Linked DNA regions of Arabidopsis thaliana. The protein of the gene in region 3 interacts with the protein of the main gene of each other region in a pairwise test. Each region holds a gene or a part of one and is shown on either strand. Other genes may lie near its edges.

What was found. Proteins that work in one complex are often made in the same cells at the same time.
Region 1: the proteins of GLK2 (region 3) and NF-YA9 interact in a two-hybrid assay, tested with the Arabidopsis thaliana proteins (one large-scale study listed by BioGRID).
Region 2: the proteins of GLK2 (region 3) and LOL2 interact in a two-hybrid assay, tested with the Arabidopsis thaliana proteins (one large-scale study listed by BioGRID).

Annotation. Positions count from the first base shown.
Region 1 is NC_003074.8:7,323,875-7,329,610, reverse strand, and holds NF-YA9 (nuclear factor Y, subunit A9), read right to left. Parts: upstream 3,257-5,736; 5' UTR 3,117-3,256; coding exon 3,114-3,116; intron 2,790-3,113; coding exon 2,525-2,789; intron 2,446-2,524; coding exon 2,357-2,445; intron 2,255-2,356; coding exon 2,180-2,254; intron 1,828-2,179; coding exon 1,663-1,827; intron 1,557-1,662; coding exon 1,242-1,556; 3' UTR 1,030-1,241; downstream 1-1,029. Other genes in the region: AT3G20920 (translocation protein-like protein), read left to right, coding at 1-84, 260-488, 599-848; AT3G20900 (uncharacterized protein), read left to right, coding at 4,941-4,974, 5,455-5,627; AT3G20898 (uncharacterized protein), read right to left, coding at 5,408-5,634, 5,716-5,736.
Region 2 is NC_003075.7:11,486,928-11,491,452, reverse strand, and holds LOL2 (lsd one like 2), read right to left. Parts: upstream 2,478-4,525; 5' UTR 2,385-2,477; coding exon 2,216-2,384; intron 2,034-2,215; coding exon 1,926-2,033; intron 1,468-1,925; coding exon 1,358-1,467; coding exon of another isoform or gene 1,301-1,357; exon of another isoform or gene 1,234-1,300; coding exon 1,153-1,233; 3' UTR 1,030-1,152; downstream 1-1,029. Other genes in the region: ENDO5 (endonuclease 5), read right to left, coding at 4,218-4,336, 4,420-4,493. UniProt on the Arabidopsis thaliana protein: Putative zinc finger that may be involved in programmed cell death and defense response.
Region 3 is NC_003076.8:17,795,707-17,801,863, forward strand, and holds GLK2 (GOLDEN2-like 2), read left to right. Parts: upstream 1-2,574; 5' UTR 2,575-2,728; coding exon 2,729-3,175; intron 3,176-3,556; coding exon 3,557-3,697; intron 3,698-3,896; coding exon 3,897-4,232; intron 4,233-4,585; coding exon 4,586-4,675; coding exon of another isoform or gene 4,676-4,720; exon of another isoform or gene 4,721-4,794; coding exon 4,795-4,941; 3' UTR 4,942-5,220; downstream 5,221-6,157.

The DNA.
Region 1 (5,736 bases), on a different chromosome or scaffold from region 3:
TTCCTGTGTATCCACACCGTTGCAAACTAATTGTACTCTACTCATGTGCGGGCATTCTTCTGATGATTCTCTCCTTACTTTTCGGTAAGCTCTATTACACAAATACTCTGTTTAATATTTTTGTAATTGCACCTTCGAGAGTCATTTTCTTGGGAGTATTATTTACTAGCGATAGCTACTAAACTGAAGGGGGTCATATACTCATGTAGTTTTAACTTGGCTTATACTGAGATTAGTCCTTCTTGATTACCTCTTGCAGTGAGAGCAGTTGCTTTCGGTGCTATGTGGATTCTTTTGGGAAAGCGTGTCTGGTTCTTCCCCAACATTCTAGCTGAGGAAGCCACATTGAAGGAACTGTTCCGTTTCTGGCCAAAGAAAGACGAGGAAGAACCGCCCAAGTGGACATCTCGACTTTTCTACACAGTAGTGGCTATTGTTGTTGTCATGCTGCTTAGGCGTCATGCCCCTGATGAAGCTGCTCGGGCCAGGTATACACTGCCTTCTCGTCCACCTTTAAATATCGCTTAAACTAATTGTACTCTACTCATTTGAATTTAGTGCAGTAGAGGTTGAATTGTGATGAGTTTTGTTCATACAGGTACCAAAGAAGGATGTCCAACATCATTGATGATGTCCTTGAGTGGTCACCAAAGCTAGCACTTTCTGGTTTGATGGAGAATCAGCAACCTGTAAACATCACAGATGCGGCAAACAACTCCTCAGATTCAGCAGGAGGTCCCGACCAGACTGAAGAGGTCGACCTAGATGAAACTCAAGGCGAGGACCTAGACGAAACGCAAGGCAAGGAGGAAGCTGAAGGTTGGACTGACTCTGATCTTAAAACATAAAAAAACCAAAATATAGAAACGAAAGTTCATTGTAACAATAAGTCAACTTAAGTGACCAAGACGAGGTGAGTTCTTTATAAGAAAGTCTTGAAAGATTTTGTGGTACTCCATTACTCCTTTACATTTTGACACAATCTGGAATTTAGCTCTCAATCACAGTTTTGTATTCCAAACTTCAATTCCAGCTAAGAAATGTTTAGTTAAGATAGAATTGAAAAAGAAAAGTGGCAACATCTGAAGTATTCCAAACTGAAAGGGAAAAAGTCACAAAAAGCTACAAAAAGTATTTGTACAAAATCAGAAGAAAAAAAAACGAGAGAAAATACTCTTTCATGGCTGCTACCGAATAAGCCAACAAAGAGAAAGCCAAGAATGAATTGCCGCCTTGTGAGGTCATTTAATGGCTAGACGAGCTTGAGAAGGATGGTTTGAGGAAAGGCTGTTCCATTGCTGCCCTGAACACTCTCCTTCTTCCCTTCTCTTATAAGCTGAGCTCTGCATCTCATCTCCCTGAGGTGTTCTATAGTCACCATTCCAAGCTTCACCTTGATCAGAATTAGATGATGACGGGGACTGAGTAACATGACCATTGCTCTTTTCTTCAGCTTTACGCTTTGAAGCTTCGGTGTTGGTTTTCTTTGCAAACCGTCCTCCAGTACCCCTTGGCCTCCTCATAGCATGTTGATGCCGAGATTCATGTAGATAAGGCTGTGGACCATGCAAACAAAGAAAGAGATGCATTAAGCAGTGTGATGCGTTCACAGTTAGATCAGACCTCTCAAGAAACTAATATACATGGTAACACGCAATGCACCTTTCTGGATTTTATTAGCTTCTTCTCTAGCTCTGCCTTGGCGCGTGCCTGCCTTCGCCTCAGAATCGCCTGGTACTGTTTAGCATTCACGAAAACTGGTTCTTGTGCCATCTCAGGCGGCAGTGGCATTCTTGAATGAGGCATCCCACCATATGGAACAAACCCCTGATAGGTTAAATGTGTTATTTATTATAAAGTCACATAGATGCTAAATAGATAAGAAGAGCCTAAAAATTCCTGTCGTGAACTAAATACATCTTCTCAATATCTTCAATAAACTGCTGCTATAAATCATAATTCATCTATCTATCAGGAACACTGTTAGACAATTATAATCATGCTAGACTTCACAAAGCACCTACAGCTAATAGAATATTTAAACATGCAATCTCATGTTTCGCAACCCAATAGCAATCATGAATCATGGTAGACATGTCACATGGTTAAATCGTCTTAACAGAGATAATCAGTTGAGGCTTTAGGAAAACTTGTAAATAGTTTGGAAATAGTCATATACCAGGGGATGATGTCCATAGGCTCCCATCACTCCTGCATAATATGGATCCTGGTATGGATTTGAGGATGCCCATCCCTGCATGATTCATAACCGGGAAAAAACTAAATTGTAAGCAACCATAGCTAAAATTTTCCCAAAGGAAATGATAAGAACAATATATCTATATTGGGAAGTTACAACTGTGTGGCCAACAAGTTGAGGGTGAGGAGGAGGTTGTGTGATGCCATGATGCAGAGATTCTTGGTTTTTATCACTATAATCTCCAGCTGCATATCGAAATAAACCAACAACACTTGGTTAAGAGTATTAAACACAACAGTAAGCAAATCCGCAAGCGTAATGCACCTGATTGTGGAGACGTTGTGACTTGTGATTCCTTGTTAACAGTATTATCTCTATTGGATGGTGATTTGGAACCGTTTGATTCCAATGCTAATGCTATTGACTTAGAAGATTTATCTCCAGCTTCCACACTAGAATTTGCATTGCAAGCAGCAGCAGCACGATGCCAAGGGTTTAAACTATTTATCGACGACGATACTGTACCATGAACCTCTGAATCAACCTTGTTCCCACCACTGTCAGATTTTGAATGCATGTCTTCAATTCCCTATTCAAAATCCGATATTTAGTGATGAATCTACAACTACATAATCCAATTCTATCGAAACAAGACCAAAAACATCCAACACAAAACAACAGAATTTCAATAAAATTCAGCAATTTTGACTCTTAATACTCCACGAAAGGATTTCAGTAACAAGAAACAATCAAAACCCAGAAACGTAAGAAGACAGAATTAACAAAAAGTCGAAACTTGAATTTTGCAACTTTGAAAAAAAAAAATTGAGAGATGGGAACAAGACAACAAAAACCCTAGAACAAAGGTATAAGCAGGTTCATGCAATCATAAATGACTGAAATTTCGAGATACCATTCAATCGGAGACAGTCTCGGAGGTGTCCACGGTGATTGAAGGAGACGCTTCTTCCGCTTGGACGATGAAACGATCTGAGGAAGCTTTTTCCAGTCAGAGGAAAGAACAAAAAAAAAAATATTTATGGAATTGAATTTTATTATATTATTTTGTTGTTGTTGTATTTGATCGTCGTCGTAAGAAGTATTTTTTGTTCCGTTTTGAATTTTAGCTGCCACGTGCTGTCCACGTGAACGGCGGCAACATATAACTTTTTTTTAGTAGATATTAAAATTCGAGTGTATGTGTAATTAATTTACCTGGGCCTATAATGGGTATTAAAGCTTCTATCTTATAAAGGCCCAATAGCTTACCCTCTTTTTTTTCTTTCTTCAACATCTTTAATTTGGTTTTATATATTTTTAGCTTTTCAGCTCTTTAGTACTTGCATGATTGCTAGTAGTACTGAAGAAATGAAAAAGATTGTAAAAATAATAATACATATAGGCAGAGTAAAGTGATAAAGTATAATGTAACTAGAGAAATAGAAATATTTTTTTAAAGAAAATCATTGAAATGGCTAATTATTCAACATAAATCACAATTTTATAAAATTATGTGATTGAAAACTTTTTTTTATATAGAATTGAGATACTATTGTACGGGTTTAATCAATTAAAATCACAATCATAGTGTTTTCTTGTTCTTTCTGTCAAATCTTTCTTATCCATTTCTTGTTTTTTTGTTCAAAATATTTATTGTCCTTTCTTAAGCAAATCAATTAGCTTTAAAAAAATATGATTATTTGGGCATATTGGCTTCTAATTCCTTGTTTGCTTAATTGAGTTTTGTTTTGTACATTTCTAGTATAACTAGAGCTTCTTCATGTACACTTTTGATTGCTTTGACCCTTGTATAGATAGTTAAGAATCATTTCTTTATTCTGTTGAAAAAAGAATAATCAATTCTGTATTATCGATGATGTGATTAATATGTGTTTTTAATTTTTGTGAAAAAAAGAGAGAGAGAGAGAGAGAGAAAATGATAAGAAAAGCCGCATGAGTAGCTTCATTGGATTCCCTTGGCGGATGTTATCCTCTGCCTCGACACTGCGGCCATCCCCACTAACTCTTCTCATATTTCTCGTCTCTTTCCTTTCACTAATTTTATAACATTATCTTCATATTCCTATAGTTAGTGAACACTAATTGGAATGTTTGAAGTTAAAAGAAGTGGATTTAAAATATGATTTTAATTAAGGAAGAAAATGTAGAAAATTAATATTACTAAATATGATATTATATAAAGATGAAAAAAAAAGCTTAAGTTAAAATATTTGAAACTAGATTTTGAAAAACAAATTGACCTAATCAGTACTCTTGGTGGGATTTGATTATCAACGCCCATTAACATACACCATTAATTAAAAAATGGGCATATCAGAAACTACTTTTTCTCGAATATTTTTAGTGATATAGGAAAGGTTTCTATGATTTAATTAGAAATGTGTGCATACATACATATCATATAAAATTTATTTTTATATTATAAAGTATCTGAAGATTGACTTAGTAAACTTAATTTATGCTAGTTTCTATGCGGTGTTAATGTTATTGGACCTAAACTCATTACGAAGTTCCACGTAAAAGGTGACTGTTTCTCAATCAAATAATATTGTATAATCTCTCTCTGATAGTTTTACTTTTAAAAATCGTATACATGTGTAAGATCAAAAACTTCTAAATAAAAACGACTAGCTAAGATATACTACTTCAGTTCAGATTACTTAATTTTTTACTATCAACTGTCAATTGAACGAGGTATATGAACAAACGATCAAAGGTAATGAACAAAGTAGCGAGGAAGAACAAAACATCAGGTGAACAAAAAAAAAACTCAATCCACATCAAAGTTACAATAACTGACGAAGCTAAGTAGGCTAGAAATTAAAGTCATCAACCTAATACATAGCACTTAGAAAAAAGTGAAGCAAGAAAATATAAAATAATAAAAGGGTGGGTTATCAATTGATAGTGTAAATCATAGTTGATTTTTGATATACCCTACCACAAAAACTCAAACCGACTTGATTCAAATCATCTCAAAAAACAAGCGCCAAAATAATGAAAAAAATAATAACAAAAACAAACAAACCAAAATAAGAAAAAACATTACGCAAAACATAATAATTTACTCTTCGTTATTGTATTAACAAATCAAAGAGATGAATTTTGATCACCTGCTAATACTACTTTCTGTATTGATCCTATATCAAAAAAAAAAAAGATACTAATAATTAACTAAAAGTACGTTCATCGATCGTGTGCGTTGACGAAGAAGAGCTCTATCTCCGGCGGAGCAAAGAAAACGATCTGTCTCCGTCGTAACACACAGTTTTTCGAGACCCTTTGCTTCTTCGGCGCCGGTGGACACGTCAGCATCTCCGGTATCCTAGACTTCTTGGCTTTCGGGGTACAACAACCGCCTGGTGACGTCAGCACCGCTGCTGGGGATGGAGAGGGAACAGAGTAGATTGTGTCTAGAGGAGAAGACAAAGTCGTTGATGAAGAAGAACATGTAGAGACAATAGTAGATGTAGATGTTTGATCGAGAGTTATACTTGTGTTGATGTTGTTGTGTT
Region 2 (4,525 bases), on a different chromosome or scaffold from region 3:
AAGATAGAGAAGAGCATTAAATTGGAAGGTATGAAAATACAGTTAAGACAATGATTCGTGGACTTTAGTGTGTAATACAATCACTTTAATGCCCGTACTACTACTCTACTTTGCAAAGAAGACTCTTGTGTCTTTCTCTATAGTCTCTATTACTTGCGTAACTAGTTGAGAGACTGTTCAAATATTTTTATTTAGCAGCACTTGGCGTTGGCGACATTTAATTTAAGCATGTGTTATTCAAAGAGCGACAGATAGTTTAAATTAAGATTTGATAGTGGAGGACTTTTGACAGATGTGTTCATGATAAAAAAAATAAAGGATTAATTACCTAAAGTTTGGATGAAATCCACAATTGGTATTCTCTGTAACCATCTGCCAAAAATTCAAAAATTTGTGTGTTAATAATAGTGTCTATTTATAAACACAACAAATTTCTAAGCAACTGTTTTATTACTCGCACAAAAAAAGAAACTTGTGGTGTTCATAATTTAATCTGTTCTATAAGGCCCACTCATTATTTCAATCCAACCATATCATTTAAGACTTTCAAGTCTTAAATCAAAATCTATGCAGGTTTGATTTAAAAGGATAAACTGGTTAACAAAATGTAAGTTTCGTCCAAGGTTTCATTAAATTTAGGGTTGATTTCCATTAAATTGGTTTCGTTGACAAGTTGGTTCTTCACCCACACACAGCTCTTGTTAGCTCTCTCGAGGACCCACCATTAGTTTGTATTTTATATGAAACTGTAATGTAAATTATTTATGCATATTTGGTTGGGTAAGAGTCCATGTTTTGTTTGCTATTTATACGACCTAATTATTGAAATTCATTGACAAATTCGGCCAAGTAGACTACTAGTTAGTTTTTCTCACCTGTGAAATATGAATTTTGTTTTTATGTATTGTGTGAGACTGTGAGCTGTGTTTGTTTATATTGGTCCAGTACATATATCAACTTTTGTATGGATATATACACATTCTTTTTAACCACTAAAGCTTAAAACAGTAAAGGATGATGAGCAAGTAATATCTGAAAGAATGGGAATTCAATGAGATTATTAATGGTGATTTTATTTCATCTATCCTTCGACATTATTACAAGGTTTTTAGTCGTCAAACCGGTTCAAAATTGACAAAAATCGGTTCAAGTTTAATTCTCTGCTCTCCTGAGACTGCTTAAACTTTTGAGTGGTCCTTGCTGCTCAGACCATGGAGGTCGTTTGTTGTTTTCCTGAAATATAACACAGTTTATTATAAATGATTCATCAGATGATTACTTACTCGGATCTCAAAATGTATCAACTCTTCCAAGTATGATTTGGACATGGAGCACAAAACCATCTGTGAATACATACACTGATATCTGTGACAGAATTGCAGGAGGAACATCTAACAGCTGGAGCTCCATAAGGATACATCAGTAGCAGTTTGCAATTGTTGCAATTCACCTGACCAACCTGGTTAGCTGCAAACAAAGAACGACAAGTCCAGAACCGATAAGAGAAGAAGGCTATTTCATCAATAATGAGGCCAAGTGATTCACAAGCTAAGAAGAACAATCTTGGTCTTAAGATCACACAATTTCCCCAAGAGTAGTAAGAGTAAAGGATAAAGACCACATAAATGGTCTACAAAGGAGACATTATGATGGAGTAGAGACCAAAAGGCTCACAAAAGCTTAAGAGAAGAATCCTAACCAAAGATCATTCTTGTGTCAGTTAAGAACTAAACTCATTTGGTCTCAGGAAGCTTACATTTTGAGATTCTCAAAAGAACATAGATATATCATTCACACATGCTAAGTAAAACTAGACTGAGAGAGCATTCCAAGATTGTTCCATTAAGAGTTTCAAGTGACTGAGATTATCAACAAAAGCTTTTCAAGTAATGAATAAGAGATAAAAAAGCCATGGAAGAACGAACCTTCAAGAACGAGATTAACAGTCTGACAAGAGGAGCACTTAACATGTTTGGATCCTCTTAGATAAGAAAGCAAACGCCTGCAAGATCCACATACCATTTGGGCCTTTTCTGCAACAACCCCAAAAACAAAGAAGATTTGCAGAAAAAAAACACTAATCAATTCTCGGAATCGAAAATGGGTTATCTCTAAAAGTCTACAAACTCCACTAAAAATCTCTAATTTGATCAGACTGTAGCAAGAAATGGAAGCAAATCGATAAACCCTAAAATAGACAAGACTACAAGAATACCGGGAATTTCTACGGTGGTGGGATTGGGGTTTACGGCGGCGGTGATGGTGACGATTGGAGGAGGAAGAACTGCAGATTCCCATCCCGGAGGCGGACCTTCCTCTTCCTCCTCTTCTTCTTCACGGTGCTTTTGTTCTTCCTTCTGCGTTTGTTGTTGTATCTCTTCCATCACGCCTTCCGTCTCGGCTCCGGCGAAGATGTCCAAAGTTAACTCTCAGATTATTATTACTTTTACCTTTTTAACTTTCCAGTAACGTTGACAAATAGTTGACTTTCTTAATAAATGTAAGGTAAAATTCAATACAAGAACAAACAAAAAAGATTTAGAAAGAAAATCAAAACAAATGATAGTAGATAAATTCGTTATTGCATCGGTGAATCAATGAACAATGTTCACATGACTCTCTTATCAATCAGATGGTAGTAACAACAGCATGCACTACAGCTAAATATTCTAGCTCATCCTTGGCTTTATATACATCGTCAAACCATTCTAGTATCCCCCAAATCTCTCCATCCTTGCGTTTTTCAATCGTAATTTCCGCACACCAAATTTTTCTCACGTTACCCCACTCCTTAGCACTCCACGTACACCACCACCATTTTTCCACCATAATATGCCAATTTAACATTACCATAAACTTTAGGCAATCTTTCCAACCCCTTCATAGTTGTCCATGATCCTTTTTCCGAGTCATACCAATCGATCATACCGTTACCACTTCTATTGCAACAGTAGAACACGTTCTTTATCACACAAAAAAATGATGAGCAACGCCATCCATTATTCATCGCTAAGTCTGCCGCTATCCATCTACCTTTATGCAGCTTGTAAGTCACATTATGAAAATACGACCTTACATAGACAGTTCCTTCATACACTATGCTCTCACACTTATAGCCTGTGCATATCTTCTCCTCACTCGGGAATTGCAAAAACTCCCAAGTTTGGGTTTTCGTATCAAAAACCTCCATCCATTTCGTTGAATCGAGAGTTCCGCGGCCTCCTGTTACATATATTTTCCCATCAAGGACGCAAGTAGATTGGAACACACGGGAAACCTGCATGCTAGGGGCCTCACACCATGTGTGAGTACGACAATCCATGACCATGACGCTAGACGAAGGTTTAGTTCTATTATTACTGAATCCCCCAATAGCGTAGATATTAGGACCAACAGCCACTACACTATCCGACCATGATGCAGATTTAGGATATGAAATTGGGATTAAAATCTTTTTTGAGCTATTTGGTTTGCGGCAAAGAGTGAACCAAATTAATTGTGGGTTAGAAGCGTCATATGTAATCTGCGTTAAGCACACGTACAAACAACTCTCGGTGCGGCCTAAGAGAGTTTGGGTCTGGTAAAGCTCCGTTGAAGTAAGGATAGAGCGGAATCTCTTGGATACTAAAGAGAGAGTTGGATAGTACTATCTTGAGATGCGGGCCAAATTAAACAGTTTAAAACCAAATCATCAGGAAGCATAAGAAAATTCATCCGTCTTCTTTTAAAAGGTGGCTCTTCTCCGTTCATTGCTGTGGAAGTGCACCCGAGAGCGCTAGCTGTGTCGGCTTTGCTTTTTTTTTCTCTCTCTCTTTTAGGGTTTAAGTAGCTTTTCACGTAAGAAACTCTTTTTTGTGTGTTTTGCGCTTAGGCTTTTTATGTCTCACTTGAAATCTTTATATAGCGAATTATCATTCCTAATCTAATGAGGAAATCTAACTTCTTTTTCTATTTTACTCCTTTATGTTAACTTACCTTTTTCATAAGATAAGAAGAAGGATACTAATTAACAAAACTGAAAACAAACAAAAAAAATGCAAAGTGTTATCCGTTAGTGTGGTTTGTTATTGGAAGTTTGAACCATGTCCCAAAATAACAAATTTTTGCATGAAGATTTTGGAGGTTCACTCATTAGTCATGACTCAACCATTCACAGTGTTATAAAAAACACTTAAAAGGAGTTGTTACGTGGGTTCTCAAGGATCTTTTTCTTAGATTCATAATCCTGCGAGCTTCGGTTTTGCAGAAAAGATACGATTAAGAGTAGCTGCCAAGCGAATCCCACCTTGTGCAAGTCTCTTCTCTACAACGGGTAACCGAGAAAGGAAATACTCATCTGCAGAGAAAGCAGAAGATCAAGTCATGTCCATGATTAAAGAAAACAAAAAGCCACGATCTGGTTTCATAGAGTAAGTATACCTCCTAAAGTAGTCCCCGGAGTAGCGTTCCTGTAAGCATACTTGCAGGCGAGATCAATGCTTTCAGAAGCATACCTTTAACACATCAAAGAACAAAGAGAATCAAC
Region 3 (6,157 bases):
AAACATCTATTACCCGAAGTAATATTTATCTAAACGATGGAAAATACATTTTTTCACTCAAAAGAGATGGGTTTGTTATTAATATATGCCTTTAAGCACTTTACATACCAAAAATATTCAATTGAAATAATCTCATTTATCCGGTTTTGTAATCTTATTATTATAATTTATGATTTTTGTACCACCAAATATTGTGGCATACCTATATATGATCTCATTCCTCTTTATTTTGAAGTGCCTAGAACACTAGTCTTCTTCTTTTCATGGTTACGAAAATGTTTACAGAAAATCATGGATGATTCAAGAAAATAGACCACTTTTTGAGATACTTTTCCGTAAACCCTAAGTATATCCATAATATCTCTACATTGACCAATGACAAATAGTAGTTTAGATATTGATGGACTTATGGGAGCTAGTTTTTATTATTAACTAGATTTTAACCCGCGGTATACCGCGGGACGATTTATTTTTAAAAGTAATATATATTAAAACTTGCAAATTTTATTTTTACAAAATATTTATATTTTACAGTTTATAATTGTTATTAAGTAACGCTATACCACGAATTCATGAGACAATTGTTAAAAAAACTGAAGTTTTGACCCCTATTAAAACAGCATATTAATAATATTTTAAAATTTTATAAATATTGATTCAAATACATCCACCATATAACCCAATTCCAAAATAAAACACGTTCTGTAATTTCTTTACCCGTCCCATGATTATTTTTTTAAGTAGTAATTTTTAAAATTTTAGAATTATTTTTATATATAAAAGTTTTGCAAATTGTATCATTCTCTAATACATTTATATTTTATAGTTTAAATTAAATTAATTAAAATTTAGATATCAAATCTTATAAGTTGATTTTGATTGGCTATTATTTTTAAAAATTAATAATGTATTTCGTTTTTAATTAATTAAATTAATTAAATTAGTATTTGACTTTTTAATCCTTAAAGAGATAAATTAATTTACTCTTTAAAATTTTATTTCTAATGGCATACCTATGTAATTACTTACAAAAATTAAGGTTACATTTAAAATGTACTTCCCAAATAATATAGTAGGATAAATTGTTTTATCTATGATTTATGAATATCCACATCAGTTCTGTAAAAAATAAAACTAAAAGAAAAACCAAGGAGAAAACAAATCGCCTTGTAAAAAACCGTTTTTGATAAATGTAACATTTAGGTTTTGTGTTAGTTAAGATCCGAAACAAGACAAATCTTATACACGCCATAATCCAGTATGTCGAAATCTACACCGTATTAATTATTGCTACTATGAACAACCATTCTATCCGATCATAGACTTTACTCTTATTTGTCGTTATTATCATAAAATGTCGTTTAAATAAATTATTTGTAGGATACCAATTCTTTAATTATATTAGTTCAAACACGTATAATTTTGGTGGTTTTTGAGGATGAATATCATCAAAGATAAATGCATTTTGGTGAAATAAATAATCAAATAATTATTTTAAATTATCTTTATGCACCACTATTTTTAATAAATTGGACTCTTACAACGTTTTCCTTAAAAAAAATCATGGATCTTAAAACTTATACCCAAACAAATATGTAGAAAATTATTATTATATATATAAATATATATATATATATATAAGCTATACAAAATCTTATTATATAGTAGTAGCGCTTGATTCTAAAATAGCATAATTAGACGAAAAAGCATGCATTTTGTAACATTTTATACTTTGTAAGTAAAACACATAAAAAATAATTTTATGAATAAGAAATCCACATAAAAAAAAAAAGAAGTAACATACTGTGAAAAATTAGGAAACTTTTTGAGGCACCAATTTTTTATGCCACTTTCAAAAAAGCATTAATGAAAATTTGTTTAAAATATCATTTTAAAATTTGACGTACAAAAGTACAAAACCTCATACAATTTCAAAACTTTACAAAGACTCAATAACATGTGTTATAGAGACTTTATAAACTTTCTTATAACATACTCTATAATTTTTTATATCCATATATTTGTGATATTTTTGAAAATGGATAAAATAAATTTGATATTTTTATAAATAGAAAATATTAATGGTATTTTTGAATTTTTCCCAAAATAATTATTAGTCTTATACTCCAAAATGTAAAAAAAAATCACTTTTTATTAAAAAAATACTTACGCATTTGCTTAATTGCTAGTCGTCAAAGTTTTGTCATTTTATGCAAATACTAAAAAAATGTAGAAAGCATTTCCTCTTTATTTTTGGGACAACCAAGAAAGGAGCATTTCAATAGTGTATACATAGACAAAAATATTTCTCATTTCCTATATTTGACTCTTTAAATCTTTAATAGCTCTTGTAATTTTTTCCATTCATTGTAATACAGCCATAATGTTTAAAAGGAAACTGTCAATTATAAACTTATACTAGAATATAAAATATGGTATTGAATTGAATATTTTCAAAAATAAAATATTAAATTTACGAAAAGAATAAAAAAACTTAAAAATCTCTCTCTCCTATCTCTCAACCACAACTTATTTTTCATGTCAGTATCCACCAACACATATATACGGCATATAAAAGATTTTAATAAAACCTTGGAACTATCTATATCTATTCAGACACACACGTCTATATATATATATACACTCATATACTACTTTCACTGTATCATTCTTGTTTTCTCTAAATTTTTCAAAAAACCTTTAGAATTTTCATTTTTTTACGATTCCGATGTTAACTGTTTCTCCGGCTCCAGTACTCATCGGAAACAACTCAAAGGATACTTACATGGCGGCAGATTTCGCAGATTTTACGACGGAAGACTTGCCGGACTTTACGACGGTCGGGGATTTTTCCGATGATCTTCTTGATGGAATCGATTACTACGACGATCTTTTCATTGGTTTCGATGGAGACGATGTTTTGCCGGATTTGGAGATAGATTCGGAGATTCTTGGGGAATATTCCGGTAGCGGAAGAGATGAGGAACAAGAAATGGAGGGTAACACTTCGACGGCATCGGAGACATCGGAGAGAGACGTTGGTGTGTGTAAGCAAGAGGGTGGTGGTGGTGGTGACGGTGGTTTTAGGGACAAAACGGTGCGTCGAGGCAAACGTAAAGGGAAGAAAAGTAAAGATTGTTTATCCGATGAGAACGATATTAAGAAAAAACCTAAGGTGTGTTTATTTCCCAATTATCCATGTTAGATTAGTTTATTTTTTTTCTTCTTTAAAGGTAAAAAATCCCATTAAGAAATCACCAACCTTTTTAAGGATTTCATTAAAAAAACATAAACTTCTAGTGTTTCTGAATATTTTTTTTACAAAGTTAGTGAATTAGTGTATTTATCATATACACAATTATTATTAAGTTTGATAACTGGAGTAGATCTAGGACCAAAACCAAGTTTTGTGTAGTAGGACTATACAAATTTGTGTGTTTATTTGGACTAAATATTTTTTTTTATAAAACTGTAAGACAATTTTCTATAAAAAAAATGAATTCCTTTTTTTTCTTTTCATTTATTGATTAATTAATATATTGTTCCGGCAAATCAGGTGGATTGGACGCCGGAGTTACACCGGAAATTTGTACAAGCGGTGGAGCAATTAGGGGTAGACAAGGCGGTGCCGTCTCGAATCTTGGAAATTATGAACGTTAAATCTCTCACTCGTCACAACGTTGCTAGCCATCTTCAGGTAAATTTTAGACTAAAACTATACAAACTAATTTTAACAGGAATTAATCAAGTGCTATAACCCCTAACATAGTAATTACCTAATTTATAGATTACATGTTTTTCCTTCAAAATTTTTTATGAAAAGACAAGTAAAATACTAACCAACTCAGATTTGTGTAATAAGATTAATTTGTGTTGTGTTCTTCTTGTAATGATAGAAATATAGGTCACATCGGAAACATCTACTAGCGCGTGAAGCAGAAGCTGCCAGCTGGAATCTCCGGAGACATGCCACGGTGGCAGTGCCCGGAGTAGGAGGAGGAGGGAAGAAGCCGTGGACAGCTCCTGCCTTAGGCTATCCTCCACACGTGGCACCAATGCATCATGGTCACTTCAGGCCTTTGCACGTATGGGGTCATCCTACGTGGCCAAAACACAAGCCTAATACTCCGGCGTCTGCTCATCGGACGTATCCAATGCCGGCCATTGCGGCGGCTCCGGCATCTTGGCCAGGTCATCCACCGTACTGGCATCAGCAACCACTCTATCCACAGGTAATAATAATTCATTTGTAAAAATGTTACATGTTTTTCCATTATTAGTTGTATGGTTAAATCATGAAAAATAATCGAAATGACATAACTAAATCAGCTTTGTTGAACAATCATGACACTGCAAAAAGCTAGTCTTTGTACACTATTGGCTTTTTAACACATGCAACATATATAAGTATAAAACGGAATCATTGAATTAGATTGTGGTTTTGTCTAACAACGCAATTAGTAAAAGATTGCAAGATCATGAATCATTTTTATGTAGACAACTAATAAAGATTTAGAGCTATGAATTATGTATGGATTTTACAAAAACATATTTCTAATCATGGTTTATGTGTATATATGTGTAGGGATATGGTATGGCATCATCGAATCATTCAAGCATCGGTGTTCCCACAAGACAATTAGGACCCACTAATCCTCCCATCGACATTCATCCCGTGAGTGCACCTTTTTTGGTTTCAATTTTGTTTATTAGATTTTGATTATGACATAACCCAAAAAAGTTTTCGAATAAATTTTGGATAATTAACAATATTTCATTACTTGACGGTTGCAGTCGAATGAGAGCATAGATGCAGCTATTGGGGACGTTATATCAAAGCCGTGGCTGCCGCTTCCTTTGGGACTGAAACCGCCGTCGGTTGACGGTGTTATGACGGAGTTACAACGTCAAGGAGTTTCTAATGTTCCTCCTCTTCCTTGAGAAAGATCTCCAAAATTTGTCGAAATCTCAAACTTTTAACTTCATTTTTTTGGTATCTTCTATGTATTTTTGCAAGGGAAAGACGATAAATCCTTGTTGCTTGATCATATGTATTTCTCTATATGAGTGCATGTATCGAAGTTAAGCAACTTTAATATATCGTTATAATCTTCGATAGCAGAATCTGTAATTTTTATTAACTTTCAACTCCCGAAGCATCATTGCAAAATGACTAAATGCAACACTTTTTGGGGTTAAAAATGCTTAACATTTTAAAACATTACTATCATTTATTCAATCAACAATTTATAGTTTTATACAATTGAAAACTAGACGGGATATATATCGCATGTGTTTTTTCAATGGCTTATTTTGTTTTATAATGCCAACTTTCACAGCTATGGATTGTGACTATTTATAATTTCAAAGAAGTCAAATATTTTTAAAACTCAATTAAAGTCCATAAAAAAATTTGCAATTGATAATGTTAACATATCGTGGCAAAAAAAAAAAAAAAGTACAACACATAATTGGAGTTTAGATATACGAATATTCTTTTAATTGGTTCCATGTAAAAAACTTAATTCAAACGGATTCGATTGGTGACACAAAATGGTAAAAACAAAAAAGCGGAAAAAGTTTTAAAAATACTAGAATAGTTGAAAGAAGTAAAAAAAATACAGGTACAAAAAATACAATAGTACAAAAAAATACTAGAATAGTTGTAGATATACTTTTGTGTTTAGTAAACTATTAAAGCATTAAATATTGTACCATGCGATAGAGATTACCAATCAAAAGCCAAAGTGATGATGCAGAATAAGTTAATAACAATTACTTTGGGGTAAGAAGTTTAAATTACTCTTGAATGTAGAAGGCATGAAAGTGGCATGTTTGATGGATTGTGTTTGTCGAGCATTGTGCAGACGCAGCTCAATAACGTTAATTTATATACATTCAACTCTTGAAAGACATTGAAGCTGTATCTTTGGCTTTGACACACTAGCAGCTCTCGATGGAGTTATGCGTGATCTAGTTAGTTACTATATCTCATTCTCCATCAGATAAATGTAAGTTCGTATAATACTTTTTCGGAAGCTTCTAATGCATAAAGGAGCTGTATTTGGACAAATACTTTGAGAAATGTAAGAAGCGTACAATGTGATGAGAAAGAATGATACAAAGTGATTAGTGAGTACTATGGAGGGCCTTCACT